Nothobranchius furzeri: one gene and its partners. The protein of the gene in region 1 interacts with the protein of each later gene in a pairwise test. Links are inferred from orthologs where the notes say so. Each region holds a gene or a part of one and is shown on either strand. Other genes may lie near its edges. The genes, in order: exoc8, wash1 and mbip.

Region 1 (10,450 bases):
CTGAGAGACGTTTCATTCACCCTGCAAAGGGTCATTTTAGCGCTAACTTACATAACCAAGATCTACCCAGTATACTTAACGATAACCATAACGTGAGAAAGTGATGGTTTTACTGGGAAAATGGACTTTGATCAACTGTGAACATCAGATATAGAGATCTGCAGCTCTAAACCAGTCGCACCCTCTCGCATCTAATCAAAAAGATCATTCTGACACAATAGGTCTTAATGACATCAAGACTCCTCTGGGAATAGGGAGAAGGGGTATTCGTGTGTTGTTTCAGCTCGTTAAGAAACAACAGACAGCAGTTTATAAGCATGACCCTCCTGTATTATAGTCAGAACCTCAGAACTGACAAAAAAATCCTCGAATGAGAAGCGAAACTTCTTCAAGAAACCAAAAAAGTCCAGCTGCCTTTTGAACCTTTGGGATTACCATGGCCTGGATGACTGAGAACCCTCACCAGCATATGGAGAAGTGTTTCCTCAAGTGCTCAAACTTCTGCATACATAAGTCTTAGTAATAAAAAAACTGATGTTTATGACATGAATTTTACTTCATATTCTTTCAGAATTTGAATTCCTCCCAGAAAATCTCACCACCCTGATGCTCGTTCTCTGGGAATAAACCAGTGACGTCACCCGAGGCGTTCCTCGAGCACTTCATCATATCAGGGATTTTAATGAGATGAGCTGCAAAGCAGAGAGAAAATGCCTGAAAGCACCACACTGAGCCTATGACTCTGAAGGGGAATTATTTCTGATAAAATAATACAGCTGTAACTCGAGAGGCAGGGAGGGTTGTCCAGCAATCGGAAGGTTGAAGGTTCGATCCTGGCTCTAACAGAGAATGCTGCTGTTGTGTCCTTGGACAAGACACTTAACCCACCTCGCCTACTGGTGGTGCCGGTGCCCAGCAGCCTCACCTCTGTCAGCGTGCCCCAGGACAGTTGTGGCTACATCATAGCTCATCCCCACTAGCGTGTGAACGTTTGTGAAGGGGTGATGACTGATTGAGTTGTGAAGCGCCTTGGGTGGTTGTAGAACCCTAGGAAGGCCATTTCAGTACAAGTTAGACCCGTCTCACAGCAGGATCCTTCTCTGTGGGCACAGGTTTTTCCTTCTTTAATCTTTAAATGTAGCTTTTCAACCCTTTAAATTGTTTTGAATCTCATATTTTAAATTAATTTAAATGTTTTAAACTAAAATTGAAAAATATCTATTGAACTAATATATATATATATATATATGTATATATATATATATATATATATATATATATATATATATATATATATATATATATATATATATATATATATATATGTAGATAGATAGATAGATAGATAGATAGATAGATAGATAGATAGATAGATAGATAGATAGATAGATAGATAGACAGATAGATAGATAGATAGATAGATAGATAGATAGATAGATAGATAGATAGATAGATAGATAGATAGATAGATAGATAGATAGATAGATAGATAGATAGTTAGAAAAGTAAGTTAACGAATATGACATTTTAGTGCTTATAGCTTAAAATAATATTGTTTCTTTATTATTAATAATATTCTACATCATTTTAAACCCCCTGTTGCTCCAAATTAATAAATAATGCTGTTTTTTTAGCAGACTAACCACAAAATTGAAAGTAAAGCTGTGCATTTTTAGCAACGAAAGCCTAATTTCTATTTTTCTGCCACAAGAGGGCGACAAATCTCACTGCTAGGATTCGTAATCAGGCACTGAAATACAATTAAAAGCCTTTTTTTTAACCCTAGTTTCATTTGAGCAATTATGATCCCATAACACTTCACTTATACTTTACCTATCAGTTATGAGTGATTTTTATTTTACTTTTATAATAATCAGTCATAAACAGTGAGCCATTCACACAAAGGCATAAATTAATGCGTTAAGCTTAAAAAAAATCTAAATCTGACTTTTAGTAGGTGAGCAAAAAGGAATGAAAGAGCTGTAAATAAGGATGCCGTTTCAAACCACTAAACCTTTGATCTTTTTTACCAGAAACGTTTACTTTGTAGTTTCTGAAAGAAAAAAAACATGAAAAAGAAACTTCTGTGAAGTTTAAACTTTAGTTTTTATTGCAAATTACATTTTCTGTTCTTCTTATTGTTAAAATTAAACAGCAACCTTCATGTTTTATTGGATTTGAATGGATTTGCATGCATAAGCTGCAGGTGTGAATAAATGGGACCCATTTCAACCCCCCCAAAAAAAAAAACTTTGCAGTTCCCATTTATACTAAAAACAAAAAAGACTAACAGTATGTTTAACAAGGTTACTGGTTGCAGACAAAAACCACAATTTAACAGAATATCTGAGTGCTAATTTTAGTCATCCCCACGTCACATGCTCGTGTGTTTAAGCTTTACGTGACAATAAAAATACAATCATTTTGACGCGTTTAAACGTTCCTAAAACCAGATGTTTTGCTAACATAAGGAATCCCTTGTAAGATAAAATATTCACGTAAACGAGGTCAAACACCAGCAGAGGTCGGTTTATTCTTTCATTGGACTGAAGCGTTTTGTATGATGGATTATTAACCCGAAGAACTGAGAACTAAACAAGCTGCAGCAGGAAAATTTAACTTTAAATAAAACGTCCGACTGTGTCATCACTGACTCTTTCATTTTACCATCATTTCCTTCCTGCAGCATCTAAACACCCAGTAGTTAGTGTTGTGGATCGGGTCTGAGGGGGGAGGTGAAATGACAGGGAGGGAAGGGGGGAGTGGCCACCGGCCGCCGTTTCAGTCTCACGCGGTTTGTTAAACGAGCCGTCGAAGCTCCTGTCGGCCTCAGACTAAGGATGTGGTGCTCTCTGGGTTGATCCGCACCGGCCTCGTGCTCTTCCTCAGGTCCCGCAGCTGTTTGGCCGGTTTCCCCACACCCTCCTCAAACCGCCGCTCCACCACTGGCAGCACGGTGTCGTGGAGGAAGGTGGCGTTCTGCAGGACGAAAGCCTTCTTCTCGGGGTCCTGCTCACAGCGCAGGCTGTAGTCGACGTGCTGCACGGCCACCAGGATGATCTCCCTCAGGCTCTCCAGCAGCACCATGTGCAGCTCGGGGAAGTAGAGCTTCAGACCCTCTTCCAGGAAGCTCATCATCTGCTTGGTGAAGGCCACGATGGTGTAGCTCAAGTTCACCCAGCAGTCATCGCCCGTGTACTGCTGGAAACTAATCCCACAGCTACGCATCTCATCCTGCAAGACGAAGAGAAAAGCCTTAGATGCTGCTCAACACCCGCATTTTCTTTAGTTTTCTTCTTCAAACAAAAGAAACAAACACAAAATTGGGAATTAAGGAAGGCTGTTCGACCTTGAGCTTAGTTAAAGCCTCAGGGGTCATCAAGTTCATCCTCCTCCACATCTCCTCAGAGTTCCGGTGTTTTGTGGCCTCAATGATGATGTTCTTGTAGCTCAGCAGGGCTGCCTTGACGTCTTTGACCAGCAGCGACTGCAGCGTGAACGTCTGATCCAGGCCGATCTCCGTCAGCTGCTGACAGTGCTCCTTGGCCACTTTAACGCACTCTGCTGCTGTCGACAGGCTCTCCTTGCTGTCAAACACCTGGAAAACAGAAAATTGGCCGTTTTGAATCATTTTCTGAAATAATTGGAACAATAATTGATCTTGATTTTTTTTTTATCAAGAATAATGATCGAAACATATTTCTTGACTCATGTTAGGGACATCGCTGAGCCTCTGCTGACCTGTTTGCTAAACGCGTCCACAAACATCGTCATGGCCGATCTGGACCAGACCACAAAGGCAGAGTAGCAGCCCGTGTTCCCCGCAAAGTCCGTCTCAAACTCCTTGGCAGTTTCCAGCAGGCTGGTGAAGAAAATGTTGCAGAGTTTGTGGATGTAGAGCAGCGTGGCTCCTTCGATGCGGAGCTGCCGGATGGCCGTCTGGACAGCCGCGGCGCGGTTCTTCAGGAACAGCTCGCAAGCCTTGGTGGACTGACCTGAAACACAGAAATGACATCATCAACTGTTGGAAATATAACTTTAAATTGTTACAGGCATGGATTCTCCAAGGACTACTCTGGCTTTGTGTTGAAATGTTTACTGGTTTTGGGAAATCAACATTTTAATGGTCTGTGAGATCTTATTAATACAAATAAAGACCTAATCTGATGAGCTGGGACACGGCCCGCCGGGTCGCTTTAGGTCCACCACGAAGCGACCGATCAGGAGACAGCTCAAACACCAAGACCTCAGTCAGCTGCCGCACACGCTCATCCACCTTCGCCTTCAGCTCTTTCACCGTCTGGGTCGCAGGCTGGTCTTTGAGATACTCGTTCAGCTTGTCCAGCAGGTCCACTGCACCCTCAAAGTCTCTCTGAGCGATGCACACATCCAGGTCCTCGGGCAGCTCCTGGATCCACTCGAGACTGAGGTCCACACTCTCCTCGGCATCTGCCGGCTCGTCGTCATCCACATCAAAAGGGTTGTTGGACACTTCGGCTCGCACGGGAGAGGTGGGGACCTCCTCCTCTTTCTTGTGTTTGTCCTGGGAGGCTTTCTTTTTCTTGGTTTCATCCAGGATCTCCAGCCACTCCTTCTTGACTTTGCTGTTTTCCACCTGGAAGATGCGGCTGTCTGGGAACATGAGAATCTTGAACATGTCCTTCATGGGAGGGTTGTCCTTTACGTTGACCACAGCAAAGCTCTCCAGATCATACAGGGCATTGTATTTATACTTCACTGTGCCTCTGCGGTTAGGCAGCCAGGTGGCAATCAACAGGCAGTCATTCATCAGGAAAGCATGAGCCTTCTGGATGGGGGACATGTTGTCCACATCAAACTCCACGAGGTCTCCATTGTAGACCAGGTGTCTCCCTGGGGTGTCCATGATGTTTTTAGCTCCTTCCACCTTCTCCAGCAGTGAGGTGAGAGTCCTCTGCTTCAGGTCCTCTGTCTCTTTGGGGAACGCTGCCTGCATCTCTTTGGAGGTCTCGTCCTTGTCTGTGGACAGTAAGGCCTGAGTGATGCTCTCCATGATGCTCTTCTGCTCGGTGAGGATGTGGCTCAGCTGGTACATCTCGCTCTCCAGGAAGGAGATCTCCTTGGCCGTTTCGATGAACTGTCTGTAGTTCTTGTACACGTTCTTCTTGAGGTTTTGGGCCGTTTCATCAGCCAGAGTTTGAATTTTCTGACGATGCTCCTGAAGGTCTCTGTCGCCATCCGACTGCTGTGACAGCTGCTTGACGTAGTTCTGTGGATCGAAGTTGGGCGATTCCAGCAGCTTCCGAAGTCGGTTCCCGGTTTCCGACATCTTTGGTTGTCTGCGTGTTTCCTTATTAAGCAAAACTGTTAACAAACTGACGAGAAACGCAAACAGAGAACGAGCGCCTTCATATCCACGTCAACAAACACAGGAAGCTGAAAACAGGTCAACACCCCAAAAGGATCTGGCTTCTCCAACACCCGGGTTGTCAACGTCACATGAACGTCACGAGAAGGGAGAACAAAAAGGATGATCAACAAAAACTCAGAACAAAATTGTTATTGATCTTTCAGGTAAACCAAACAATGTTTTATTTTTATTTTAAAGCTTCTGTTTATTTATTTACTCATTTTGCTTTTTGTGTGTTGTTATTTTGCAGTTGTTACTGATTACTGGGCTATTGAACAACACCCGGAATAGGTGTTTTGTTGTCCAACTATTTACCTACCGGAAGTTTACGGTAGCTGCAGAAACATTACAGATTTTCAACAGCGTTTAAACAAGCTAATTTTAGTCATCTGCTGATTAAAATAAGATACAAAACTAAGCGGGGAAAGCCAAATCAAACACGAAATTAAGTTTGAAGTAGTTTTTTATTTAGAAGTTCATACGGAAAGAGACTCGTTGTAATGTAGTACATGTAGCAAACCTGCTGTTTGGCGCGAGCTGTGGACAGACCGACTATTATTACAGATACCTTTGGCTGACAAGAAGATGAGATTCATCTTTCAAAGTCATGACTTCAGTCCTTTTACCGATGTTTCTCTGAAAGGTTGATTTTATAATTAGGCTGCAGACGTCGTTTGTTCCAGAACTTCGTGCTATTTACATTAGCAAGTCAGCTAACAAGCTAGCACAGCTGCCTTCTGATGTCATGGATGCGGATTTCCTGCTTGCCATTAAATTACAGGAGCAGTTCGATAATGAGTACGAGACGTCATTAACCTCATCAAATAGATTCGAGGATAATTACTTCGAACAAAGCAGTAAGAGACGGAAAGTGGAAGCAGCCGGAGGTGGCAGCGCTGCTGTCCCCTCCTGGAAGCCGGGTCACGAGCCTGAGAAACCCCTGAGCATCGTGGATGAGTCCTGGGAGATGCTGGACCCAAACCCAGATGTGAGGGCCATGTTTCTGGAGTTTAATAGCCTGTTCTTCTGGGGGAAACTGAGCGGAGTCGAGGTGAAGTGGAGCCCCAGAATGACACTGTAAGTTTTGTTTGTTCACCAGATTTCCTACAGCAGGGATGTTTATAAACACTGTTGGCTTTACTGGGATTCAAATATGGTAGCCACAAAGCGCGAGATGCTTGGAAAAACATCATTATTGAAGAAAAATAAGGTAAAAGATTAAACAAATGGGTACCACTAAATATCTGACACAAAGTATGTCAAACATAATTTCTAAAAAAGCAAAAAATGTCCAGTTTCATGAAGCTCTATTATGGTTTCCTTGTGCTTCTATGCAATGTTAAGGCCTTCTCTATTGTATAAAATGTGTCCTGTTTCTTGTTTTGATGTCCTCCACTCCAGCGCTGTGTTACAGGAATAACAGAGTTTTGAGAAAATGCCTCCTGTGTGTTTCCGTACCTAGGTGTGCTGGTGTGTGTTCTTACGAAGGCCGAGGCGGACTCTGTTCCATCCGGCTCAGTGAGCCTCTTTTGAAGCTGAGACCCAGAAAAGACCTGGTGGAGGTGGGATGGGTCACTTTACATTAGTGGATCTTAAAGACAGAAAATCCTCATCCAGATTATTGCTAATAATTTGTTAATTTGATTGTTTCCACAGACTCTCCTTCATGAAATGATTCATGCACTGCTGTTTGTGACCCAGAACAACCGAGACCGAGAAGGCCACGGTCCTGAGTTCTGCAAACACATGAACAGGATCAACAAGGCCAGTGGGACGAAAATCACAGTAAGTGTTTCTCCTTCAGCTCTGTGTGGTTTTGGTTGACTTTACGATAACAATCTCCTCTTGTCCCTCGGTCAGATCTACCACAGCTTCCATGATGAGGTCGATGTCTACAGGCAGCACTGGTGGAGGTGCAATGGGCCCTGCCAGAGCCGGAGGCCTTTCTTTGGTTATGTGAAGAGGGCTATCAACCGAGCTCCATCTTCTCTGGACCCTTGGTGGGAGGATCATCAAAGGATGTGTGGCGGGACGTACACCAAGATCAAAGAGCCAGAAGGATACAGGAAAAAAGGCAAAAAAGATGGGAAGAAGGATGCAAACACCTCAGAGAAGACTTTACGTACTGGCAAGCCTTTAAATACAAGTAAAGGTGAAGTTTTTCTATTTTTTTAAGTAGTTTATTCAGGATTTGCCATCAGGACCAAATACAAAAACATTTCTTTCTTTCTTTCTGCTCAGGTTCTGGATCTCAGGATATAAGGAACATCATCCCATTCAGTGGGAAAGGTTTCCTCTTAGGAGCGACGTGCCAGACCTCCACATCTCCCTCAGCACCTCCGTCCAGCGTCGCCTCCACTCCTAAGAAGTCTTCCGTTCCTGACCAAACCAAAACCGTCTCCAGTGGAGCAGCTGCCTCCTCAGGGGGAAAGCCACCTGCAAAGACGTCTGTCGGGAACACAAAAGCTTTTGTAAACATTAACGGCTCACCTGTTAAAATTCCTAAATCTAGGAGCAGCTCTGGGGGTCACGGGGCCGACGCGTTCAAGCAGAGGTCCATTCACGATCTCTTCAATGTCAAAACTCACAGAAAGTCAACAAGCCATCCCTCAGGCTCAGAGACTAAAAGAGCGGCAATGTCTCCAAATTCTTCCTCTGTCGGTGTCGACACACCTGGGGCAGCGAGCCAAGGTCAGGCGCCCAGGGAGAGGCTGTGGGATGACTGCAGCAGCTCGGCCACCATTTTTGATTTTGTTGACAAGACATTAAGCAGCAGTTCAGCATCATCAAGGGAGCAGGAAAAGACCAAATCAGCTGTTACTGCAGCTTCCAGCTCCTCCACATCACTTCAACCCCCTGGAGGGCTGCACACGCCCTCCGCCGCCGCCAACGTGCTGATGGTCAGCTGTCCCGTGTGCCAAACTAAAGTCCAGGAGTCAAAGATAAATGAGCATCTTGATTCCTGCCTGTTCTGAAGGACTTTTAAACTAAATGGTTTTACGAACCAAAGTTTTAGATGTCTGTTTTGTGCTTTAATCTCTAGTTTAACAGATATTTTGTCACTTGACAGTAATATTGAGGTATTTTCTAACTCAAGTGGCTCTCTGACAGCTTGTGCCTCAACTGCATTTACAGAACAGCAGGGTTTTGTTAAAATGTTTTTAAAGCTGGTTTCTACTTGAATAAATAAGTTTATAATGTAGTCAGACCCTCTTTGTCTGAGGTGTAGGAGGTTTGCAGAGGGAGTAGAGTTCTTCTGAAGGTCACTGGGTTTATTTTGGGTTCTGATGTCTGATGCTTCCTCCAGAGGACAGATCTCTGCTGCTAACATTTCACTTCCGTTTGCTTTTTGCTTTGTACACCTTCACTTGGACTCAGCTGCAGAGTTATTGATCACACACAGATCTCATCAGTGATGTGAGACCTGGAACAGAAAGATGTAGAGTGATCGTTTTTGTTCGTTTATTTGTATGCTGAGATTTTAATAACTAAATAAAACCATTTTATTGCTCATTTTACCTGAATATTCTGATCCAATTTCATTTAGGTTTAGTTTTTTGATGGGTTTTTAATATCCAGGCCTTTACCCTTGTGACCACAGTGAGGCTTAAGTACAGCCGATCCCATTCACTGGTGGGTGAGGTCAGAGGTCAGACTGCACGAGGCCCAGCTGTTGATTTGGACCACGCCCTTCAGACTCCACTGAAAAGACGAGCTGAACCAGGAGCAAGAGGAATGGTGCGACGGCACAGATGGCTCTGCTGTCAACTGTGGATGCTCTGGATCAACGAGTCAAAGAAGAAAACACCTGAAAACAGTTTTTTTAATTTGAAATCAGAAAGCTTGAAAAGGTTTTATTACATTTTTTCTAGAATGATCACCAGACTTAACACGAGAGCAAAGCCACTGGCCTTTGGATGGAAATCCTGATGCCTCATTGGCCAGATTTCCTCCCATGCAGTCTTTCGGACTGATGAATTTTTCTGGTCCACTAAAGCATCACCTCCAAATATGGTCACTTGAGCTTCTAAAGATGTCCTGACACCAGACCTTATTTGGGTTTTACTGACGTTTCATCTTTTTCCTCAGATGTTATCAGCTGTAACTCGGAGCTGTTTCCTGTGCCCCCCTCCAGTCCCGTCACTGACGGCAGCTGTTTTCTCTCCTGACCGGCTGTACCACAGGAGGCTGACGCCCCACCTCCCACACCATCCTGCTTCCTGCCCATTGTCTCTCCCTGACAGACGAATCCCAGACCAGCTCCAAGTTCAATGCAGCATTTCTCCTTCAGCTGTAGCAACAAGAAAATGAAACTAAAGCCCACGTAGGGCCCATCTATGTCTACCAATAGGACCAGTAAATACGTACATTTCTACAATGCATTGCTGCATTCCTGCGCACACCAGTCCACCTGGTTACTGGAACTGTTTGGGCTTTGAGAAGCTTTTCCTTTGCAGCAGAGACTTAACGGATGTCTTTAGACCGTTATTAGGAGGATTTAACACGCTGACGCAGAGCTATTGTGCTTTTAGCCAAGCAGATTAACAAAACTCTGCTACAGATACACGCAACCCAGCGGGGTGCCATCGTACGTCTAATCCTTTGATCTCAATTGCCAGTGAGGATGATGAATATGAGGATGCGCCATCTTTAATTGGTGCACCTGTTGGCCCTCAGCAGATGGCTAATTGTTTCTGTGACACAATCAAAGGGTTTTTCAAGGAGAAATGTGCAAATAGTAGATTAGCTGGTTTATTATGTAAGTCAGCAGCCAGCATTTGGTAATTAAATAATAACAAAACTGGATTTGAGGTCAGATCTGGACCTATAATTGGTTCTCTGTTCCTGAATATAAATGCATTAACACTGTGGAGTGGGCAAGAATCAGTATCCTCAGAAAGAACAGCTAAAATACCAAAACAAGCTAAACAAAAACTATAAAGCTAACTTATTTCATTTTTAAAAAGGCCTTTATTTTAAGAAAAAAATTATTGTACGTGCTGTTTTGCGCTCTGATTGTCAGCTGAAAAATCTGGCTAGCGAAGTTAGCTCCTTTTTTCT
Region 2 (10,547 bases), on another chromosome or scaffold:
ATCACCGAGTTTTCCTGTGGTGAGTGTTCCATTTCCTAACTCTGCTTTGGCCTGCAGAGAGGTTGAGCTTATCAATATTTCTGTTTGTGGGAAATAAGCTTAAATATAAGAGACTAGACTTGTGAAGCGGTTTTTCTTTTTCATGCTTTGCAGACCTCACCCTATTGGCTCCAGTCCATTTTATATTTGTGTCTTCTGGATGCTTTTCTTCCACTTTTGCAGGCCACGTGATTCCTCCTGAGAACATCCTTCCTCTGGTTTTGTGCAGCGGCCCGTCTGGTCAGGAGCTAGATTTTAGCTTTCAAAACCGAGACTTTCCTTGCATGGTAACAACTCCGTGATAGTTGGTGATTATTGTCATTTGACCTGTAACTTTATTGTGCTGATGAGCTCTTTTTTTTGACAACAGATGGATGAAACTGGTCGCATCCTCTCCAACATTTGCAACGTGGTACCAGGCGGTGTCGTCTGCTTCTTTTCTTCTTACGACTACTTGAAGCGAGTCATTTCTCACTGGGAAGCTGGCAGTGTGCTCACCAGACTGGCAAATAAGAAAAAGGTACATCAGCTACTTAAAAATGTTATTTAAATTAAAACAGTTTTCTACAAGTTTAAATGGATCACACTCCTCCTCAGATCTTCCATGAGCCAAAGAAAGCTAGCCAGGTGGAGCAGGTGCTAAACGAGTTCTCCAAATGCATCCAGGTAAACATCTGACCTACCTGGGTGGTAATCGTGTTTATGTCATCATCAGTGATGGAAACGTGTCTCTTTTGGGTTCAGAGGTGTGCTTCAGGCAGCGTTGGACTCACAGGAGCATTACTTTTCTCTGTGGTTGGAGGAAAGATGAGCGAGGGGATCAATTTCTCTGATGACTTGGGCAGGTTTGTGTTATTTAGTTAAGCAGCTGTTGCATCCTGTTTAGAACATACATGTTACCGTTTGTGTGTATGGCTCCAGGTGTGTGGTGATGGTAGGAATGCCGTATCCCAACATCAAATCCCCAGAGCTGCAGGAAAAGATGTCCTATCTGGACAAACACCTGGTCTGATGATTCTCTGAATGTTTTAATTTAAAACACTAAAGGAGAAACCGTAAAGAATATAAAAGATGAGCCCACAGAGAAATTTTACTTTTTTTATTTTCCAGCCTCACACTGATGGGAGAAGCCCTGGAAGAGCTCTGGTGGAAAACCTCTGCATGAAGGCTGTCAATCAGTCTATAGGTGATGATGACGACAACTATCTGAGATGTCATGAATATTTATATGAGCCTGGTTGACACATCTGGGATCTTTTCTCTTTAAAGGAAGGGCAATTCGTCACCGTGGCGACTACGCCTCCATCGTTCTCTGTGACAGACGTTACTCCCGATCCACGACGTGCTCAAAGCTTCCCACTTGGATCAAGGATCGCACCAGCATACACACGACATTTGGTTCTGCTTTCGCCGCTTTACGGAAGGTGAGAAGCAGTTAATATATCAACACTTGGTGCTAAATGATGAAAACACGAAGTTCATTTTGTTTTTTTTTCTTCCTTCAGTTCTTTTTGGAGAAAAAGCAGAAGCAAGTCTAGTTTCTTTCCCAACAAAACTCCAAATGCTGTGTTTTTAAGGCGTTCTTGCAGACACCAAGCAACCAGGCTTTTGGATTTATCACTTTATTTAAATGTTCCTTGTCAAGGTTTAAAATTTAAGAATGGAAGTAATTTAATGGCACATTGCAGATAAAAGGAACATTTGTCATTTTCGGGTTTAATAATTTAAATGTTAGTGAAATGAAAAACTAGGAGCTTCTACACACATTTATCCAGTTGTTCATTTAGTAATGATCTGACTGGTTCACTCAGATGTTTTAATATCAAAATAACAAAGTGATATTTTGAATACAAACTGTTAAGAAATCAATAAAGTATTCTAACTATTGTGTGTTTATGTTTATTTCAGCTTTAGACAAATGACTGAACACATTTAGCATTAAAATCATGAAGCCTGTTGATTGAAATGTCCTAATTATGTGCTAAATCCCCCCAAAAGTCCCTGTTTGCTGTTTAGTGCATCATGCTTCCCAGTCGTCATCGTCTGTTGCCGTTTGTGGAGCTGGAGGAGGCGGGATGACGTCTGACATCCTGGCGAACGCTCCTCCCGTACCAGCAGGAGCTTCTGACTCTCCAGCAGCTGGGACTTTTCCAGAAATACCTGAAGTGAAGCCAGGAGGTGCATCAGCCAAATAAAATCTCCAACATTAGTGTTGTTAAATCACTCTAAAGTAACGTCTCACCTTTTCTACGCATGGCGAGTTTGTTAAAGAGGTCAGACATGAAGTCTCCACCACTCGACGCTGCTCTGACCGCTAGAAAACAAGAGTTGCTAAATTATGATATTTGCAACTCGATCTTTTAATAATTGTCCTTGAAAACATTTAAGAGCAATAAATAAGAGCATAAATGAGCTGTAATGAGTCCCATACCTTGCTCTTGCTCCTTTTGTTTCTTCTTCTCCATCTTGCGTTCTTTAACGTTGCGTAACTTGGCTTTGCCAATGCCGCCGGCGTTGCGGATGGATTCCAGCAGGCTGGCGCGGCCGTCTGACGGCTGCACCACTTCGCTCGGAGCGCCGGACACCGGGCCTGCAATCAGTCAGGACTGCAGTTAAAATCTCACTCCTGAAGGCCAATTTGTTACAAGAAGGGAGCAAACGAGTTAATATTCATCAGGTGTGCGTTTGCGAGGTGGAAACGAAGGATTTGATTACTGACACTGATTCGTCTGAATTACACGGAGGTGACGCACCTGAACTTGGAACTTTATCGACTTTTGTCTCTATGGGAGGAGGTGGTGGTGGTGGTGGTGGAGGTGGTGGTGGTGGTGGAGGAGCTCCAGCAGGAGCTGTGGGAGTGAGGGCAGGAGGAGGAGGCGGAGGGGGAGGAGGAGGAGAGTTTATTTGGGGCAGATCTCCTGAAACAAAACAAACAACATGAAGGGAAATGTGAGTTCTATAGAAAATAAAATGTATTAAAGATGAGCTGAACGAGTGTGCGGAGTGTACCTGATGCAGTACTCTCCCGAGAGAAGGAGGGCAGCTCAGGGATGTTCTGCGTTGGTCCTGATGGAGCGAACCCAGGTCCGAGGTCAGCGCAGTACGACAGGTCGTCAGCGATACCTGGAAGGTCAGGAAGATAGGATGGCACGTCTATCTCAGGAACCTGACCCAGATCTGGCATGTAGAAATAATTTTCTGCTGTCTGTAAAAAAAATAAATAATAATAATTAAAAATTAAAAGCAAGATTAAGTCTGTATAGGAATATTTGATCAAATCTCTGATTTTATAATGAAAACACACCTGTCGCTCTAGTTGTTCTCTCTGTGCGATGGACAAAGGAGCATCAAAGGGTTTCCCCTCTTTCTCTGTTTCCAGCGTGGTGTGTGTTTTTGTCACTGCTCCCGCCAAAGGGTCGAGGAACACGTACTTTTTGTAACTAAAAATAAAATAAATAAAAACAAGCACAAAACTGAAGTCAGAGACTGATCTTAACACAGTTGGTTTCCACAGAAACGATATGCTGACTCACAGATTCTCGGTAGTATTGAAGAGCAGCAGAGAGCTAACAGATGAGATGTTCCGAGGCAGACTGCCCAATCCCTCTTCTGTCTCATCTTCAGACTTCTTCTTATTCCTCACACACACTGGGAAATACGTTAGCTTCTCCTGGAAGGAGACGATGAAGACATAGCGTGTGTTTATGGGTGATCTGTAAAACGTCGTCTCAACGCCACTTAAGCGTTTCTAACTCGGACAATCATACCAATGAGGACACTTCGAATTCTGGAGGTTCTTGAATAATACATTTCTGCACCAAAGCAAACTGTCTTGTGTTTTCTTTCAGTCTGACAAATACACACATATGCTAACAAAAACTACACAGCAGCAAACATGCTCGCTTTTCTTGCCGAGATGGTGCAATAAAAAATAAACTGCGGGCTTAGCTTTAAATAATGCAAAAGCTTGAGCTGGGGCATGTACACACACACACACACACATTCACATGTTTACAGCCAATTTCCCTGCTAAGTGACACACAGCTGCTGATATCCTTCCTGCATGTTCAATGGGTGACAAATTCACTGCTTGGCACGATGCTTGAACAAATTTGCAAATCTAACCCTAACCCAATCACTGGATCCGATTTGAATGAAGAAAGGACTCATGAGCTCCGACTTTTAACACAGTACACCGACTGTGCAAGTTGTCCCACTTAAAAAGACGAGATGAGTCTAATTTTCATCATAGCTACTCAAACTGTGAGAAACAGAAGCTAAAAAAACTCCAGGAAATCACAATGTCTGATTTTTAAAGAATTTCAGTATCAATATGAATTTCTTTTTTCTATCTAATTTTATGGGACCCCCACCTTCGTAAAAATCTACTTTGGCCATTTTACAGTTTCTCCTCGTTCTCCGGAACAACAGTTTAAAATAACTCTAAACAGTTTAAGCTAGTCCATCAAAAGTGGGTTTAAGTGACTGTGTGAGTAATAAACTTCACCATCTTCACCCTGAACACCACTCTGCAGCCCACTGCTGACCAGAAACAGCACTTAACAGTTTGGTGGAGTAGGTAGGTGCCCTATAAGGGGAGCTCTTTACCTGCTTCACAGCTGTCAGCTGTTATGCTAGCAGTTAGCATTTTCAGTTTGCAGATTGTCAATAAAAAAACACAAGAAAAAGTAAAAAAAGACGTTTACTTTTTTGTGTAGAACATTGGCACGACCTACAATAGAGAGAGCTAAAGGAGGTTACATAATTGCAAACTGATGGTGACCTAGCTTTGTTACTTGACTTGTAATAATACTTTTTGTTCAACAAATAGGATCTTTTTACTTGGTGGTTTATTTTAGTATTAGCTTGCTCTTGTTAATGCTAGCTCGTTGTTAGCGCTAGCTACAATTGGCTGCAGCAGGGTTGTTTACAAAAGTTGTAATCCCACTTGCAACCAGTAGGGCAGGGGGTCAGGAAGCTGGTCAGTGTTACTTTAATAAGAAAAAAAAAAAAGGAAAATCAAATGTCAACATAAACTCAATGGCCACTTCATTAATTACACATTTTAATACAAATATCTAATTGGCCATAAACATCAATTCACATGTTAGCAACTCAAACCATTTACATATCTAGAGAACACTTTATCCCACCTGCCATGCCTTCTCATCAAACGGACGAAGTTTATTCTGTATCTTGTGATGGGGACGGTTTTGTGAGGAAGGGTCCACTGCCCCAGAGAAGATAGATGAGTAGTCCTGAAGATGGTCTGGGGCTGGGTACTTGGCACTGGAGAAAACCTAAACAAATGCGTCAAATTAGGATTGTTTCATCTTGGATTTTAAAATTTTTAAACGGTAATTGCTGTTACCTTGGTGGCCTTCTTGCTGCCTTTAATCTTGTCAACACGGGCCTGAGCTAGTCTGATACGGTCAGAAACGCTCTGCAGCTGGCGTCGGTTTTTCTCTACGCTTTCGGAAACCCTGAAGGCACCACCAACAGGAATAGAACACAAACAAAACTATAAATAAAAGCTGAATACGTCTCAAACTGTGTATTTAACTCGTTCATAAAGATTGCATTGATTATGTTTTACCAACTACATTTTTTTTTACATAGGAACAAAAATCACTCCCACTGGAAGCGGAATTTTCAACCTGAAGCAAGACTTTATAAAGACAAACCCAAATATTTTCTTCCAATTACTCTCTTTTGGAGCTCTGTAGCTTTATAGATATGTTTTCAGAAAAATCTGAACGTATGTGTGCGCACACATGCTTGCCTTCTGAAAATGTCAGTGGAGATCAACTCAAGATACAGCAATGCGTCTGCTATCTGATGAACAGCCTCCTCTCGCCTCAGATCTGGTTGAATGAGGGGCACCGAGTACACCTGGCCCTCCAGGCAGTGCCTCTGTGTCATCCTACAAAGCAGCGGTGCAACAGCAAGGTTAGTAATCGATTAGACATCCAGCTGCGTGCAAAACACATGGAACTACCTCTTATGGGAGAAACATATGAGGTGAAAAGCACTAATCAACTCGTCTTGCAGTGAATCAAACATCACAGACACAGTAAATCTGTGCCAGAGTTTCATGATTTGTCAAAATAACTTACAAAACCCCAAATAAATAGCAGAAATTGTTGGTTTATGCTTTCAGATCGAGCAGACGAAAATAATACTGAATCACTCAATTAAAAGCAGTAATTTTGGAGATTTTAAACACGCTTTTGGGAAAGCCAGGAGATAAAAAGTCATTTAAAAATGGAAATGGTTAGAAAACTTAATTAAGCCATTTTGACACAAAGAGAAGCACAATACCAAGTTTGTGTAAGAAAGTCATCACGGGAACTGGAACAGTTCATCTAGCAACAACCCATCATCTGACTCACATGACGAAGACTCACAAAGAACTAATACTTTTACTTTTTTCTTATTTCCCGGGCTTAATCATCTCAAGTTAGCAAAATGGACCACAGCTAATACATATGTGAGCCAGCTGCTGCTTGGAAATATACTCCAAAAAACAAACAAACAAAAAACAACTAATGAAACAGTGAGATATTGGTTACCGAAGGTGTCACCCGATAACGACGTTGCACTGACAATAATATCCTTACCTCACCATTGGATTTTGATTTCTTCCTAAAGACACTTTGAGAAAAACCTCGAAGAAAATATAGAGTTTAAAGGAGTTTAGTTGTCTGTTATAGCTTACAGATCGACTACAAGATAGCCTAGCAAAACATCGGTTTCATACTTCCGCATCACTGTATCATGTGACCATGTAGAAAACGATGGTGTTGCCTTCATGGTAGCTCGGATAGTTTAAAATTCAAACCTAATGTGCTTATTATTAACCCTCTAAGGCTCAAAATAAGTTTTGATAAAAGGATGAACAACTACGTCCTTTAGGGGTACTTCTGAGTTAAAAAATGTTCATGAAATACATATGTGGAGTAACCAGGTAGGTAGGTTTTAACTGTTGCAAATCTGCACCGCCTGCCTCCAGAGAATCACAGTCGATTATTGTAGTACGGTGGTTTCTGTGGTGTGGCAGAGGTCATAATACCTAGAAGACTGGACTTGTGAATGTAAATGCATCGTAAATCCCAACTGCGCTGCTCTGGGTGGCTGTATGTTGGAGTAGCTCTGTTGACTATATGTAAGTTTTGCCTTTTCTTGGGCATTTTTTTTCTAGTTTCTCAAGAAAAACTGTATTTTTGGACACTTTACTCTTCTGTTTCTGGTGCTGTGAAGCTTGGAGGATTTTTACTGCTTTTTTTTAGCTTTTTCACTTTTTGAGCATTTGTTATGATGCGTAACCATGGCAACAAGCTGTTTACAATGGGGAGCAGCTGATTAACATTGGAAAGGCTGAAATAATACCTCAACTGAAGCCACAAATCCCAAATGAGCTAAAACGCAAGAAGCGTTGATGCAGAACGGGAGCAAAATGGAGACAGAGAAAGAGGAAATTCAAACCATCTCTTCCATCGATCATAATGGGCAATGTGAGATCACTGGCCGACAAGATAGAGGAACTCCAAGCCCTTTCAAGGACTCAGCCAGAGTTTCTGCAGTTTCGAACCGCTGGAGGAGATAATGCAAAGATGGATTCTCCAGAGAATCAAGAAAATTATGGACAACCCTGAGCATTCTCTTCACAAGACTGTCAGACAACAGAAGAGTGCCTTCAGTCAGAGGCTTCTTCAGTTTCGCTGCAACACTGACCGCTACTGGAGATCCTTCCTGCCAACAGCCATTGTAATATACAATAACTCTTTGATGACTTGATTATTATTATTATTATTCTGAGATACTACAGCAATCAATTTCCCTCTGGGATTAATAAAGTATTTTTGAATTGAATTGAATTTAAATGAAATGTTGAAATAAAAGACAAAAGTGGTTAATAGTAAATAGAGAAAAATGTAGTTAACTAAGCTCTAGTTTTGACGCAGAATAAATATTTAATAAAGTGTGCCTGATTCAGAAGAAAGTGGATGCAATGTGTTTGATTTTGAAACAATTTCGAAATCGGAAGTGACGTACTGTTGACTTAATGTTGAGTAGGAAAGAAAAATATGGTTCATGGCTTAAAGACAATTCACGAGTGTTTTATAAAATAAAGAAAAACGCTGTTGTTTGCAACCTGTTTTCCTCGAGGACCTGTCCACTATTTCGCCTGTAGAAAGTGAGACAGAGAATGGAAGTTGTCCCAGTTGCCGGTCGTTGGTTCCATCCCTATAGGTCCAAGACAAGTCAGGACCCCCCTAACTCCAACCCTTATCCGCATATACTCATTAAAGTTGATTAATTCTAAACTTTATAGTAACACCAGAATTTTGATTATACTATAGGGTGTGTTACTGAGACTTTATCAATTTAGTATTTACAAATATAATCTTGGTAAACTCACGACCTCAGCACTGACAAACTTGTGGGGACTCCTTGCTATCTTGTATGGACCCCTCGGAGGGGTTACAAACCCTAATTTGAGAACCACTGGATAAGCACATAAAACTAGATATTTGAGTCATTTTTGCCTTTACTGATATTATGCTTTTGATTTTTGAAACATTTGATACCCAAACAATTTTTGCATTACTTTCAAATAAAATGTATATCTCTGTTTATTATCGATCCAAATGAACCGTCAATGTTTATGTATATCAAATTTAGCAGTGTTTAATACGCCATAAATTGTGTTTTCTCTTTGGTGTAAATCTCTGCAACTAAATGGGCGCCAGTGTATTACCTCGTTTGTCTTGGGATCATTTTAAGCACTCATCATCCCTTGTCGTTAACTAATACATACATAAATAAACTAATTAGTCATTCAAAACCAGGAATTATAAAACTGACAAAAGCTTATCTGCTTATGGTTTTGGGTAATTAAAAGCTATTTTTAACTCTTCAAAAACAAAAAAATCCTGACTGCAATTTTTAGTTTATATCAAACAAATCAACACCGCAGCCACATTTTAAACCAGTAGGGTGCGCTCTTACTCTGGCTTTATCTTTGTGTGTAATGACGCATCTGTCTCCCAGCGCCTCCCCTCCTTCCTGTCACATCTGGATCTGGCTCCTCTCATCAGCACCACTCAGCGCAGTGGGAGAGTGAGGGAGGGAGGGAAGCGACCGGAGAAGTGCTCGGTCGGTGCAGCTTCATCCACAACCGAGCACAGTCGAGGAGAGAATAACTGAAGGACATCCACCTTCTCATTCACACAAATATCTGCACCTACTCATCCCTCCATCCTCCAGACCAGCAGCTTCTCTTTTTCTCCTTCTCCTCTCTCCTCTTGCCTCGGACATTATGAGCTCCAGCTTGTTAGAAAACCCGGTGCAGGCGATTCTGTACCTGCGGGAACTCACCACTATCGTGCAGAACCAACAGAGTCTCATCCAGACCCAGCGCGCTCGGATAGAGGAACTGGACAGGCGAGTGGACGAGCTCATCGGTGAGAACAGACACCTGAGGGACGTCAGGGTACAACATCCCTACCTTCACCATCTTCACCACCATCATTTCCCGGACCCAAGCTGTCTCCATCATCACCACCACCCGCAGGAACCTCAGCTTAAGACTGGTGGGGGGTCTCTGCCGGACCATGCAGCCACACCAGCACAGATCGAGGCGGCTCCGGCCCAACCTTTGGACCCAGGGGACATGCAGCTAGTCCCAGCAGACCTGTCCACTATTTCGCCTTTAGAAAGTGAGACAGAGAATGGAAGTTGTCCCAGTTGCCGGTCGTTGGTTCCAATGACCCCAACAACCCTTTGTCGATCCCTGACCCTGGCAAGGAAATCCGAGTGAGTAAACAGATTTTTTTTGGTTATTTAGTCTTGTTCAGTTCATGACTGTTTCACGACCCCCCTCAAAAGGCCCTCAATTTTATTCCCCAAAGTCTCTGACTTTTCTGACATTAATTTCTTGGATGAGATACCCCATTTGGAGTCCTTTATTGTACTAGTACGATGAGCATCATCCGTCTTATGTGCAATCAAGTGCGTGTGTGCACGCGCGCGTTCCACAGACTGAGAGGCGTTTAATTAATGAAGATGCTGCCTGCAAATTTCCAATTCTCGGCTGTCTGTCGGGTAAGGACTACGTCGGGAGAGCTGGATTATTTAAATGAGAAACTGGATCACGATCAGTGGATCATTACATAACAAACAGCTGTAGGCCTTTGCGCGAGGACGTGCGTGCGCGCGCGCGTGTGAGTGCATGCGTAAAGCATTGGCTAGTGTCAGTTTGAGAAAGCAGTGCGCGGGGGTGATGAGACACCTCGAGTTACTGTCCATGGTGCTGATGGCCTCTCCGTTAATTACAGCACGGGATTCGGAAACTCTCACGGGATTTCCGGGTCTCTGATGTTGCTGTGTTAGTCCTGACTCCTGCATGGCACCAGAGCTTTACAGAACATCACCTAATGAGAGAAAACCCATGATTTACATCTTCCTTTCTCCTGTATGTGAGTTCTGCTCATATAAGTTTCATC
Region 3 (10,593 bases), on another chromosome or scaffold:
TAATTATTTAGAGGGACACAATTGCTCATTTTAATGATATAAGGATTGAAAATGAACATTTCATAAACTAGCTTTTAAATTTTTACAGTGAAACTGTAAAACTGTAAGTTGGGTATTTTTATATTTAAACGTTACCCACTATGTGCCTGTAAGGAAAAATATCAGAAAAATCCTAATTTAAAGTATATTTCCTTAATATTGTCTCTAAATGAACAGATTCCAGGTTTTTGAGCAGGAAAAACATTTATTTACACAAGAAATATTTCTGTACAAATGAACAAGATCCCAATGAAAGGTTGTTTAATATAAATGAGATGAAGCGTCAGACTGTTTTATTACACATGCTGGTTTATAAAAACTCCAAACTAAAAGCATCAGTCAGCATTTACATTAATCAGAATACAGACACTGTTGCTGTTTATAGTCTAAGACAAACTAGATCTTTGCACTGGTTTTTACTGGAGAACTGTGATAACAGGTGAGGATAATTAAATAAAGCACATTTAATTCCAGAGTAACACCTCCGGCGTGTCTGTCTGTGCATCAGAGCGAACAATCGGGGCCAAATCTGGGTCCAAACTCACTCATCCTCTTCAGCAGCGCTGCCTTCACCGTGCTGATCTTCTCATCCAGCTCTGTCAGACTACAGGCCTGAAATAAAAACACGAGATCAGCTGAGCTTTCATAACAAAATAATAACAAAAGGGAATAAAAGCAGGAGGACGCAAACCTGAGCAGGAGACATCTTTAGTCGCTTGTGTAGATGTGTCTGAAACATAACCAAACATTTCAACTCAAGCGCTTTCTAAACGGACTCAGAATTCTAAACATTTTATAAAAGAAGCAGAAGACTTAAAGAAATTCTGATTTATTTTGCTCTTGTTTGATATTATCACAATAGAGGCTGTAAACGGAGCTGCGGGGGTTAGAATTCAGGGAACGACCTTGGGTAAACCTGAACTGCCTGAAGAACCATCATTTAATCCCACTGCAAGCACAAAACCCTCCAGTATTCCTTATGGAGCCGCGCCTCGCTTCACTGCCGAGTATTAGAATGTTGTTCCTGAAATCCTGGGCCAGCTGAGTGCAGCTTTTCAGCAAACACCAAACTACAGCGAAAAAACAAAAAAGAGAGAGAGAGGGAGGGAGGGGGATTCAAACATAAAAGACCCCCATCTTCATCCGTTTATTCAAAGACACTCGACATCTCCTGCTCTGCTCACACAAACATGCAGTGAGTCAAAAGCAGATGGAGAGCAGCGCTCTCACAGAAGCAGCGTGCTGTGCTGAGAAATACCAGTATGAAGAGATGCGCAGCAGCTCAAGCACACTTAGCTAGCTAACACACTGGACAGGCTGCTTTAGTTCACTAAATTAGAGTCTGGGACTCTGGTGGGTTCAGCATCAAGTCCAACAGCAGAGCCACACAATGGATCTCTGCAACTAATCGCCATTGCGTCGGACTCATTTGTCCCCCGTGACCTAAATGTGTGTCAGAGACGATCATTAATAAAGGGATAATCCAACACCCCCAGGCTGCAGCTGCAGGTGACAAAAACATTCACTAAATAACTGAAAGGGTTCTTGGGTTCCTCACACACGTCACTGAAACTTCAAACGTGTTCAAAAATGTTTTTGTCAAAACAGATTTTCTCTCTAATTAGAGGCAGATCTGTCGCAGGAAACTGGAATTTGTCTCGATGGGCAAAAGAAGAGAAACAACTTGGGTAGGAGTTTATGTACAAATGAAGATTTTACCTCCTATAGGAGGCCGACTTCTTTCAATGTAACATTTGATTCTATTCAACTTAGACTAGTTTTTTTTCAGAGCCCCGGCTTCAATACCAAGTGTTAAAAAGACATCACGACATAATTTTAGAAAAATATTCATTTCCTTAAAGCATTTGAACCACTAATGGTTTAAAGAGCAAGTCATCCCCAAATCAACTTTTTTTTCTGATAAACTATATAAATGCATGTCTAATCGTGCTGCAGACACATGTAGTCAACAGTTTAGCACTTTAGTGCATCTTAGTTAAAATTTAAATTTTCTGCCTAAAACTGTCAATGTTGTGCCGTTGTCAGGTAAAAACTCTGCACTGCATTTGAATTTAAATCTGCCATCGCTATTGGCTAAGAGGTACCCTAGGACGTTAGCTGGTACCATATGATGTCACAATGTCGTTGTGAGCCTGTGTGCATTTGTTAGTGGCTCCGCCCTCTCTGTCTGCTAGGCAACAGCATTTGTTGCATTTTTCAAACAGGAAGTGGGAGTGAAGTAATACTCTGGTAGGGGGTGACTTGCTCTTTAAGTTCATGAGCCCCAGATGAAAATAAAACAGCAAACCAAAGAAAAGCTCAGGAAGGTAATTAGAATACTTAAACTGAAACAAGAAACTTTGCAATAGTTTAAACTTTTTTGTAGTTACATCAAATACCTCGTGTGACTCAAATATAACTAAAACTTCTCACATAAGTGTAGCAGTTCAGTGGACTCTACCTAAAACAGCAGATATTCTAACTACTTATTACCATAGAAGCTCAAGATCACCTGTTGTTGTCTCTAAACCTAAAACCTGTTCAGACTTAAAATTTGCTTCAGGAATGTTGCATCAATGTACTATATATCTCCCTCATTCCCACATTATCACATTCAAAAACAAATAACTCACATAAGTTAAACCACCTAAAGGGCGGTCCAGACATCGTCTTTTACAAAAAATGACCAATGAAGTAAAAGTTACGGAGAAATGGAAGCAAACTGCTTTAGAGGTAATATCTGTGAACGTCAGGGGAGGCTAAAAGTGCTCCAAGATGAAGATTTGCACAGAATAAAAATCTAAGAGAGCACTGGTTGAATTTGCATTGAACTACATTATGTGAACTGTCATCATTTAAGTTTAGTTTCTAATGCAGATCTCTGTGCTGTAATGTTATCTGAAAAAGCTTTGTGTGTTTAATCCAGAAGACTCACCGTGGACTGAAAGTACTCAGGAGAGAGTCCCTCCAGCTCCAGGATTCGATCCTCCAACGTCTTCAGTCGCTGGTAGACGGTCAGAGGAACCGGACCCACTGAGGAATAAAACATAAATATAATATGTTCCATACACCAGACTGGGAAAAAAAGGACTAAAACAAAACCCAGAAAATAGGGAGAGAAATCATCGTGTGACAAGATTCTCCCCAAAAATATGTACGTAGTTATCATCTGGTGTTTTAAATCAGCCAATATTCAACATGACAAGGTGATCAGTCAACCCAGCACCTGAGAATCAGATTTTCCCCCAGTTTGTTCAAGTTAAAGACAAAAAAAATAAAATCTGTTTTTTTTTTCCTAGTCCATGAACACACCATCACTATCATTGGTTGGTTAGAGTAGTGAAAACTCAGAAATCAGTATCGGCCATAAAAATTAGAATCCGTGCATCTTTGAGTGTGATTAACTCTTTTTTGTGTGACTTAAGAAAAACATCAAGAATTTATGTTCTTGTTGATATTTTATAAAAAAAGGTGCTCATCATGTCACAATATCTATATTATTTGTATTGTACAGTTTTATTCAGGATGTGTGACGCATCACTTGTCTCTCTTCTCTCACCTGACGGCAGTTTCAGGTGAGTCTCCATGTTCTGAAGTCGCTCCTCTATGGCTGCATTTCCACAGTCTCTTGCAGCTGCCCCCCTATGATGCTCTGCAGCCTCTCCCTGGCGCCCCCCGCCACGAGTCTGGGGCCCGTAAGTGTTTACCACTCGTGAAACTGATCAACCAAAGAATAATCACAGACTCGGATGAACCAACCAAATTTTAAATGATGCACATTACAGAAATCACACAGCATCCATGATGCTTGTTACCAAATTGTTAACAAAAATAATTTAGCTAGTGATGATGAGTGTATTTTTGAACGTAAGAGCAACAAAGAGTCCCCTTTTCTTACCTTTAATGTGGCTTTTAAAGCCTGGGTAAGGAGTGAACACGGCGTCCGTCCTGGCACAGCTGTTTTCTACAAAGGAATCAAATCCAAAACAAAAGTGTAATTAGACTTTCTAAATGTAAGAAGAAAATAGTCATAAAAAAAAACATTAGAAATGAATACACCACACTTGAACTGCAACTTCGTCTGATTTCCATTACTGGCGTCACACACAAGCTTTGAATTTCAAACAGCCTGTGTGTCTGGTGTTTTTCTGGCCAGAGCAGGTTGCGTTTCAAGGCCGAGTGTGTTAGCTACTTCAGGCCCACTCTTGGAGCAGTTCAGCCTGACCTCTCGCCTGTGGAAATCAGCTCTCTCCCAAACATTGGCAATCTGTGTGCAGCCTCCCTCTCCACCCTGCCCCCCAATCTCTCCTCCGTTCTCACCCTGATTGCAGTCGATCACGTTGCAAAACTCGCGCACATTGTTTTCATTGATCTCCATCTGCTTGCATTCCATAAATGCAGATATTCTTCGCTCGATCTGGAGTTACAGAGAAGACAGATAATAAGACACAACGGGTTGATGAGCCACTGATAGCTGTGAAGAATTCAATGTTTTGTCGACTTATTTTTACTGATTTAGAGTAAACAAAGTTCAGCGATTTATGGTTTCAAAAAATATCAAACACAGTGAGAGAAATTATTCCAGATAGCCCAAACAGTTGAATAGATTATCGTCATCATGTGATGGAATAAGAATACGGTTTGCCTGGCTACCAAAATAAATGCACAACAGAATGGGGCCTCTTGTCCTTCATCCACATGCAATCTCAGAGTAATGAGCATCCACTTCATAATCCATCAAGGACCTGGCCCTCTCTCAAACCCCTCCAGCAATGTGGTCCATTCTACCCCACCACAGCACTACAGAACCCTTTATTCTCTGTCAAACCCAGTATCAGAACTCCATCAAGCATTTGCTGCACATCATGTGCACATCCTTGGAACCAATTACTTATGATTATTCATTTGCTTGACAGAGTGTGAAGGGCTCTAAAATATCAGTGCCAGAACAGCTGACAGATCTGTTGACAATGACCAACCTCTGACTTCCCGGCTCGGATCTGAACCATGACGTCATCGCCCGAAGACCCGCAGTCTGCAGCCTCTGAGCTGTGACGCCGGTGCTCGGATGATAGTGACGTGACAATGTTATCCGCCGTGTCTTCCTTCACAGATGTAACATCAGCTTCCACCAGTGACCTCAGGCTTTCTGAAACAGCCTACAGCCAAACAGAAAGAACACTGACTGCTACAAACACATTATAAATTAGTGTTATTATTTCTTTAATTACAACACTAGTGACCATCAATTATACTGTAAATGTGGCACTTATTAGATATTGCAGTCATATGTAACATAAATTAACCAACGGGTGAATGTCTTACCTGCAACTTAGCAATGTGCTGCTGTACACAGCCATAAACACCTGCTTCTGAAGATGACGAAAGTACTACAGCTCCAGGGTTGACCTCTATTCTCAAAGCAGCATCCCCTAATTTCAGCTTTGAGAGAAAATAAACAAGAGTTTCATCAAGTACACATCACCACAGCTAAATAAAAAATATATAGTTCAAAATAGTAGAGGCAGAAAATGCTAAATAATTTAAGTAATTTAACCAACAATTTGGTAATTAAAAAAGAAGCAATTTTTCATAATTTGCTTCTATAAACGGTCAAATTAAATAATCTTATTGTTTTACACTGAACCTTTCTGCTGTGCTAGAAAAACTAAACCATTATTTAGCAAAAAAAAACAGTGTATATAAGACTGAATACATATATTTAATGTCCCTTTAGAAGCCCTGGGTATGAAAAGAGCTAAAGCATCCAGCAATTTTAATAATTTAGACGTAAACACGGGGGGAAATAGAGCAAGGTTAAATATATTTTCTAAGGTAGAAATGCGTTGTGGACAGTGGCATCAATAAACGTTTACCTGCAGGACCAAAAATTACATAATACTGCGTAAAAATGCCAAAAACCGTGAACGTTTACTATATGGAAAAAGAGGGTAAATGAAAATAAGCGTGATTTGAACCTAAACTGACGTGTGACACAAAAGTCTGGACATGTTTTTATTGCACAGAAATACAAATATTAAAACTGAATCTGTTAATTTAGATATAAACCATCGAGCTGACGCTTTCCTACGGCAAAAACTTGATTAACGGACAGTGAATGAACATGAACCGACGAGGCTAGTTGCTAAAAACATTAGCACACCGCTAGGAAACTACTCAGACTGGAATGACTATTCGGAGCGAAGCAGCTGAATCATTTCACACCAACCTCTTTCCCAAAGTCTGAAAGCAGCCCCAGTATTGCGTCCATGCAGTGTTTGTAACTGGACATTTTAGCTGGTTCGCTGGGAGGAGCTTTGCTCTCACTTAGCTTCGTTGTCTCCGCCATTGCTACTCAAACTCATGGAATACTGCGTGCTCATTGGTTGCGAGACGGTGATTTTAATCACGTGGTTGGTGGAACTGCAGGCTAAAATGACGCATGCGCATTAACAGTAGCGCATGAAAGTAAATTCAAAGCACAAAAATAAATGATTTACTGTGTTTTGCTCAGAATTTTGATCTTTAAATAGATTCTGAAACATTAAAAAACCTGTATAGTTTTTTTTGTTTGATCCTAAAGAGGGCTCATCATAGGTAGAAAGATGCTTTTGTTTTTGTTTGTGGAGATTTAATTTCTAGAAGGCTCATTCAGAAAGCAAAAGTCAACTTTTACTAATTTAAACTATTTAATAAACTAGTACAGATGCTTAAAATTGTGAAATATGTTTCAGTATAACAAAAAAGTAAACAATAGTTTAAAAAACAGCAGAGAAAAATAAACAGAAAATGTTTTAACTTTTGAAATGGACATATTATTTAGGTTCAGTATATTTGTTTGCCTTTTCTCAGAGGATGCTCATAAGGTCATGTCTTATTTGTATAAAGCATATAAAATAAGTTTTATTCTTAAAAAACTACTAATGTTTTTATTGTGCTGATTTTTGAGGTGCTTTATGACTTAAACTCTTTTTTAAATCTTGGTTTAAATGGACTTGTCTACATTTTTACAATACTGACTGACATGTCCAAGCCACATTTGCCTACGTTTTCATTCACCTGCTTCTCAAACAGCACAAAGAATGGCTCCTTATTATAAGCACACTGTGCTTCTTACTGCAGAGGACCAAGCAGCAGGGCATTGGGATGGGAACCTGCCCACAATGGTGTATTTCTCTGAGTTGAGTGACTGTGGGAAAATCTCCCTTCTCTATTCAGACATTTTTCACTTCTTTTCATATAATGAAGAGAGAGACTGATGAAGGAAACAACAGAAAAAGAACAATTACAGGCAAAGAGACGGCACAACCATGCACTCAGAACTCAATAATGCTCTTTAGAAAGGTTAATCATTTTAGGAAGGGCTCTGAAGATAAGCCTTTTTAGCTTAATTCATTTGTAGGGTGATATTTTTTCCCGTGAAACAGGAAGAGAACTGTAACACTTGACATGGTTTGACATGCTGAGCAGTTGCTAAATGTTCCCACACAGCGAGGAGCTCTGAAATTAAATACACTGCTCATTTAATTTGCCTGGCTGCAGACCCAAGAGCTGTAATTTTTTTTACCCTTTTAATGAGCTGTATATGTGATTTAAGGTACTTCTTGGAAAATACTTAGAGCATTTTGGTTGAATTTAACTTTTGAAGCCAAATTGCAGATGCTCATTAGCTAAGGGTCTGACTTGATCTTTCACTATCTTGTTAGTTGAAAAATCATAAAGAACAGAAGAGGTAATACTTACATCATCATATATTAAATTAAATACCAATACTTTGTAATTGCATGTTTTAATCGGGAATTTCCAGGTCGTGCCATCAATTGAACATAAACAACCATTTAGCTAAATGTATTTTTCATTTGCATATGTGCAAATAAATACCAGACAGTCCAAATTTGGTGATGTATTTATTTGAAAACAGCCTTTTTTTTATATGCGAATACTTTTACATATGACTCGGTCAGCAGCAGTCAAAGAATGCAGCTTCAGTCTACATCTTTATTTCCTTCAGCAATTCAAACACACACATAAGACCCAATTTTCAGCAATAAAAACAAAATGAAACATAGAACAGACATTATTATGATAGCCCAGGAACGTGCATGTCAAGCATAACAAAACATAGGAACAATATGTTAATCAGTGCAGAGCCGAGGGTTTTTCCACAATCCTTGTACGTTTGAATAAAAGTGAAAATAGCTTCAATAGGTGAGATTTTTCAGTGATTAATAGATGCAACAGTGAAAATGCAAATGTGGTGACAAAATGGTTTGGCCCACTTTAGTGTAAAGGATAAATAAATACAGGAAAATAAATGAATTACACCAAACACAGCAGAAGAGGTACTAGAACATGTAAAGTGTGAGAAACTAAATACAAACGTGAAAATTAACCTAATCTTTTCAAACAGAAGTTGTGTGTCCTGAGTCCCCTTCTGTAGACATTATTTGCTCATGATTGATTTGCTCTGGTGTTCGTATCAAAACATTTTCAGAAGGAACTGCTGTTGTTGGTTTGAACTTCAACATGGATGCGTTTATATAAAAGTTCTGAATTAGGATAGTTTAAAGAAGAAGAAGAAGAAGAAACAGAAGAAACAATTTTTTATATAGCGCCTCTCAAAATAAAAATCACAAGGTGCTTCACAAGAACAAAAAACAAAAGGTAAAAATATCATAAAAAATTGAGAAAAAAGAAAAAAATGATCAAAACATGTGAAGGAAGAAAAAAAATGAACAAAAAAAGGTAATCATGGGATCATGAGAAAGGCCGATTTGGTAGAGGTAGCAGCAGGAATAGAAGCTAGTGAGGAAAAATCATCTGGAGGTCACACAAAAGCTTGAACAGGTGAGTTTTCAGCTGCTTTTTAGAGGAGACTACTGAGTCCACTGATCAACCTTAAGCTAGCTGCTATTGGAAGGGTGATCTCAGCATCAGCCAATCATGAAGAGCTTAAATGTACGCCCACCAATGGTGGGCACCCCTGTAAGTGGAGCGACTCCACTGTTCGCCTCCGATGGCTCTTGATCCTAACAGAACCAGTGGGGCCATTTGCTTAAGGGCTGCGACTAGACTCATAGAATCTGGGGTTAGAATATGTAACCAATGTTCTATTTCATCTAGTCTTAGCCCTTAAGCTAGCTGCTATTGGAATAATGCGCAGCTGGATGGGTTTACGCCACACTGGTTAGCTCAACCAAATGGACACACCCAACATGTCTCCTTTTAGCGAGGGTCGTTCAGCCTCAGTCCAGGGCTTAAAAGGCTGAGGCAGCCAGAGAGAAGAGTGGGGCTCCCACTAAAATATCATCCACAAGAGGATGAAATTCATTCAAGTAGGGCTGATGTGGTGCCATAATGCTTTTACTCAGCCTGCTGAGGTCCAAGCACTGAACGAATGATGGATCCATGAAGACACATCTCGTAAATAATAACGAGTAAAGGAACAGGGTGAAGCCAATGAAGCAGCCTAACAAATGTCTTCCATCGATACACCACAGTGGAGCGTCATAGAAGAGGAAATCCCTCTGGCTGAGTGAGCCCTGAGTGTCTCAGGAGGATCCCGCCCTGATGATGTGTAAGCGAGTGAAATGGCGTCACACAGCCAGTGTGAAAGACGCTGGGTCGACAGCGCTTGCCCCAGGGAAAAATCTCTGTAGTGCACAAACAGGCTTTGTGAGCGGCAAATCCCTGAAGTGCGTGACACATATCGTGCGAGCGCGCGCACCGGGCAGAGAAGGAGGGAAGCCGCCTCCTCATCAGAATTATGGGGAGGAGGAAAAAGTCCAGCCAATGAAACTGACCTGGGTTTGAAGGAAGTATTAATGTTTTTGGGCACAAAGGCTGGGTTGGGGCATAAAACAGCAGACCCACCATCTTCCCGGATCCTGAGGCATGCGGGAGCCACTGAGAGGGCGGTTTGGTCGCTCACTCTCTTGACTGATGCGAGTGCCAGCAGCAAGGCAGTTGTAAGTGACAGGAACTTGAGTGAGACCTGGTCCAAGGGTTCAAATGGGGCTTCAGACAAGCTGCGCAGAACCACCGTTAGATCCCACTGGGGAAATAGCGGGCGGAACACAGGTCTGTTCCTTCTGACACCTTTTAGAAAACGTTTTGTGAGGGGATGATTGAAAACAGATCTATCTCCAAAACCCTGGTGACAGGATGAGATAGCTGCAGCATATGTTTTAATAGTGCTGAATGCGAGGCCCCTGTCCATCAGTATCTGCAGAAACGATAGGACATCCGCCAGCTGGCAGGAGAGCGCTTGAACATTCCGTTCTGTGCACCACTTTTGGAAAGCTGCCCATTTAGCAGAATAAGATGTGACGGTAGAAGGTGCCCGCGCACTCTGAATCGTGGCGACCACATCATGCGGCAGCCCAGAAGCCTCTAAGCGTGACTGCTCAGCCGCCAGACCCACAGCCGTTGGCCTATTTCTGGAGGATGTTTGATTTTCCCATCCGCCTGGAGAAGGGCGTCCGCCCTCCACGGGAAGCCGGACACCAGCGCTTATAGGTCTGGGAACCATGATGCGGAAATGCGTCTGGGAGC

The links.
Region 2: the proteins of exoc8 (region 1) and wash1 interact in binary tests that used the Homo sapiens proteins (3 or more experiments, as listed by UniProt). The link is inferred for Nothobranchius furzeri from reciprocal best matches to the Homo sapiens genes EXOC8 and WASHC1.
Region 3: the proteins of exoc8 (region 1) and mbip interact in binary tests that used the Homo sapiens proteins (3 or more experiments, as listed by UniProt). The two-hybrid records come from large-scale screens. The link is inferred for Nothobranchius furzeri from reciprocal best matches to the Homo sapiens genes EXOC8 and MBIP.

Annotation. Positions count from the first base shown.
Region 1 is NC_091742.1:10,758,716-10,769,165, reverse strand, and holds exoc8 (exocyst complex component 8), read right to left. Parts: upstream 5,458-10,450; 5' UTR 5,309-5,457; coding exon 4,159-5,308; intron 3,996-4,158; coding exon 3,742-3,995; intron 3,599-3,741; coding exon 3,350-3,598; intron 3,235-3,349; coding exon 2,830-3,234; 3' UTR 2,509-2,829; downstream 1-2,508. Other genes in the region: DNA-dependent metalloprotease SPRTN, read left to right, coding at 6,135-6,466, 6,852-6,951, 7,046-7,174, 7,250-7,541, 7,631-8,364. UniProt on the Homo sapiens protein: Component of the exocyst complex involved in the docking of exocytic vesicles with fusion sites on the plasma membrane.
Region 2 is NC_091744.1:70,582,686-70,593,232, reverse strand, and holds wash1 (WASH complex subunit 1), read right to left. Parts: upstream 6,832-10,547; 5' UTR 6,668-6,831; coding exon 6,660-6,667; intron 5,963-6,659; coding exon 5,822-5,962; intron 5,523-5,821; coding exon 5,411-5,522; intron 5,340-5,410; coding exon 5,193-5,339; intron 3,710-5,192; coding exon 3,573-3,709; intron 3,480-3,572; coding exon 3,344-3,479; intron 3,245-3,343; coding exon 3,049-3,244; intron 2,958-3,048; coding exon 2,793-2,957; intron 2,630-2,792; coding exon 2,471-2,629; intron 2,354-2,470; coding exon 2,282-2,353; intron 2,200-2,281; coding exon 2,060-2,199; 3' UTR 1,646-2,059; downstream 1-1,645. Other genes in the region: iqsec3b (IQ motif and SEC7 domain-containing protein 3), read left to right, coding at 9,362-9,858. UniProt on the Homo sapiens protein: Acts as a component of the WASH core complex that functions as a nucleation-promoting factor (NPF) at the surface of endosomes, where it recruits and activates the Arp2/3 complex to induce actin polymerization, playing a key role in the fission of tubules that serve as transport intermediates during endosome sorting.
Region 3 is NC_091758.1:21,133,050-21,143,642, forward strand, and holds mbip (MAP3K12-binding inhibitory protein 1), read right to left. Parts: upstream 6,428-10,593; 5' UTR 6,389-6,427; coding exon 6,269-6,388; intron 5,482-6,268; coding exon 5,365-5,481; intron 5,199-5,364; coding exon 5,019-5,198; intron 4,457-5,018; coding exon 4,360-4,456; intron 4,004-4,359; coding exon 3,938-4,003; intron 3,758-3,937; coding exon 3,599-3,757; intron 3,073-3,598; coding exon 2,975-3,072; intron 1,110-2,974; coding exon of another isoform or gene 1,095-1,109; exon of another isoform or gene 972-1,094; intron 770-971; coding exon 731-769; intron 652-730; coding exon 544-651; 3' UTR 307-543; downstream 1-306. UniProt on the Homo sapiens protein: Inhibits the MAP3K12 activity to induce the activation of the JNK/SAPK pathway. Component of the ATAC complex, a complex with histone acetyltransferase activity on histones H3 and H4.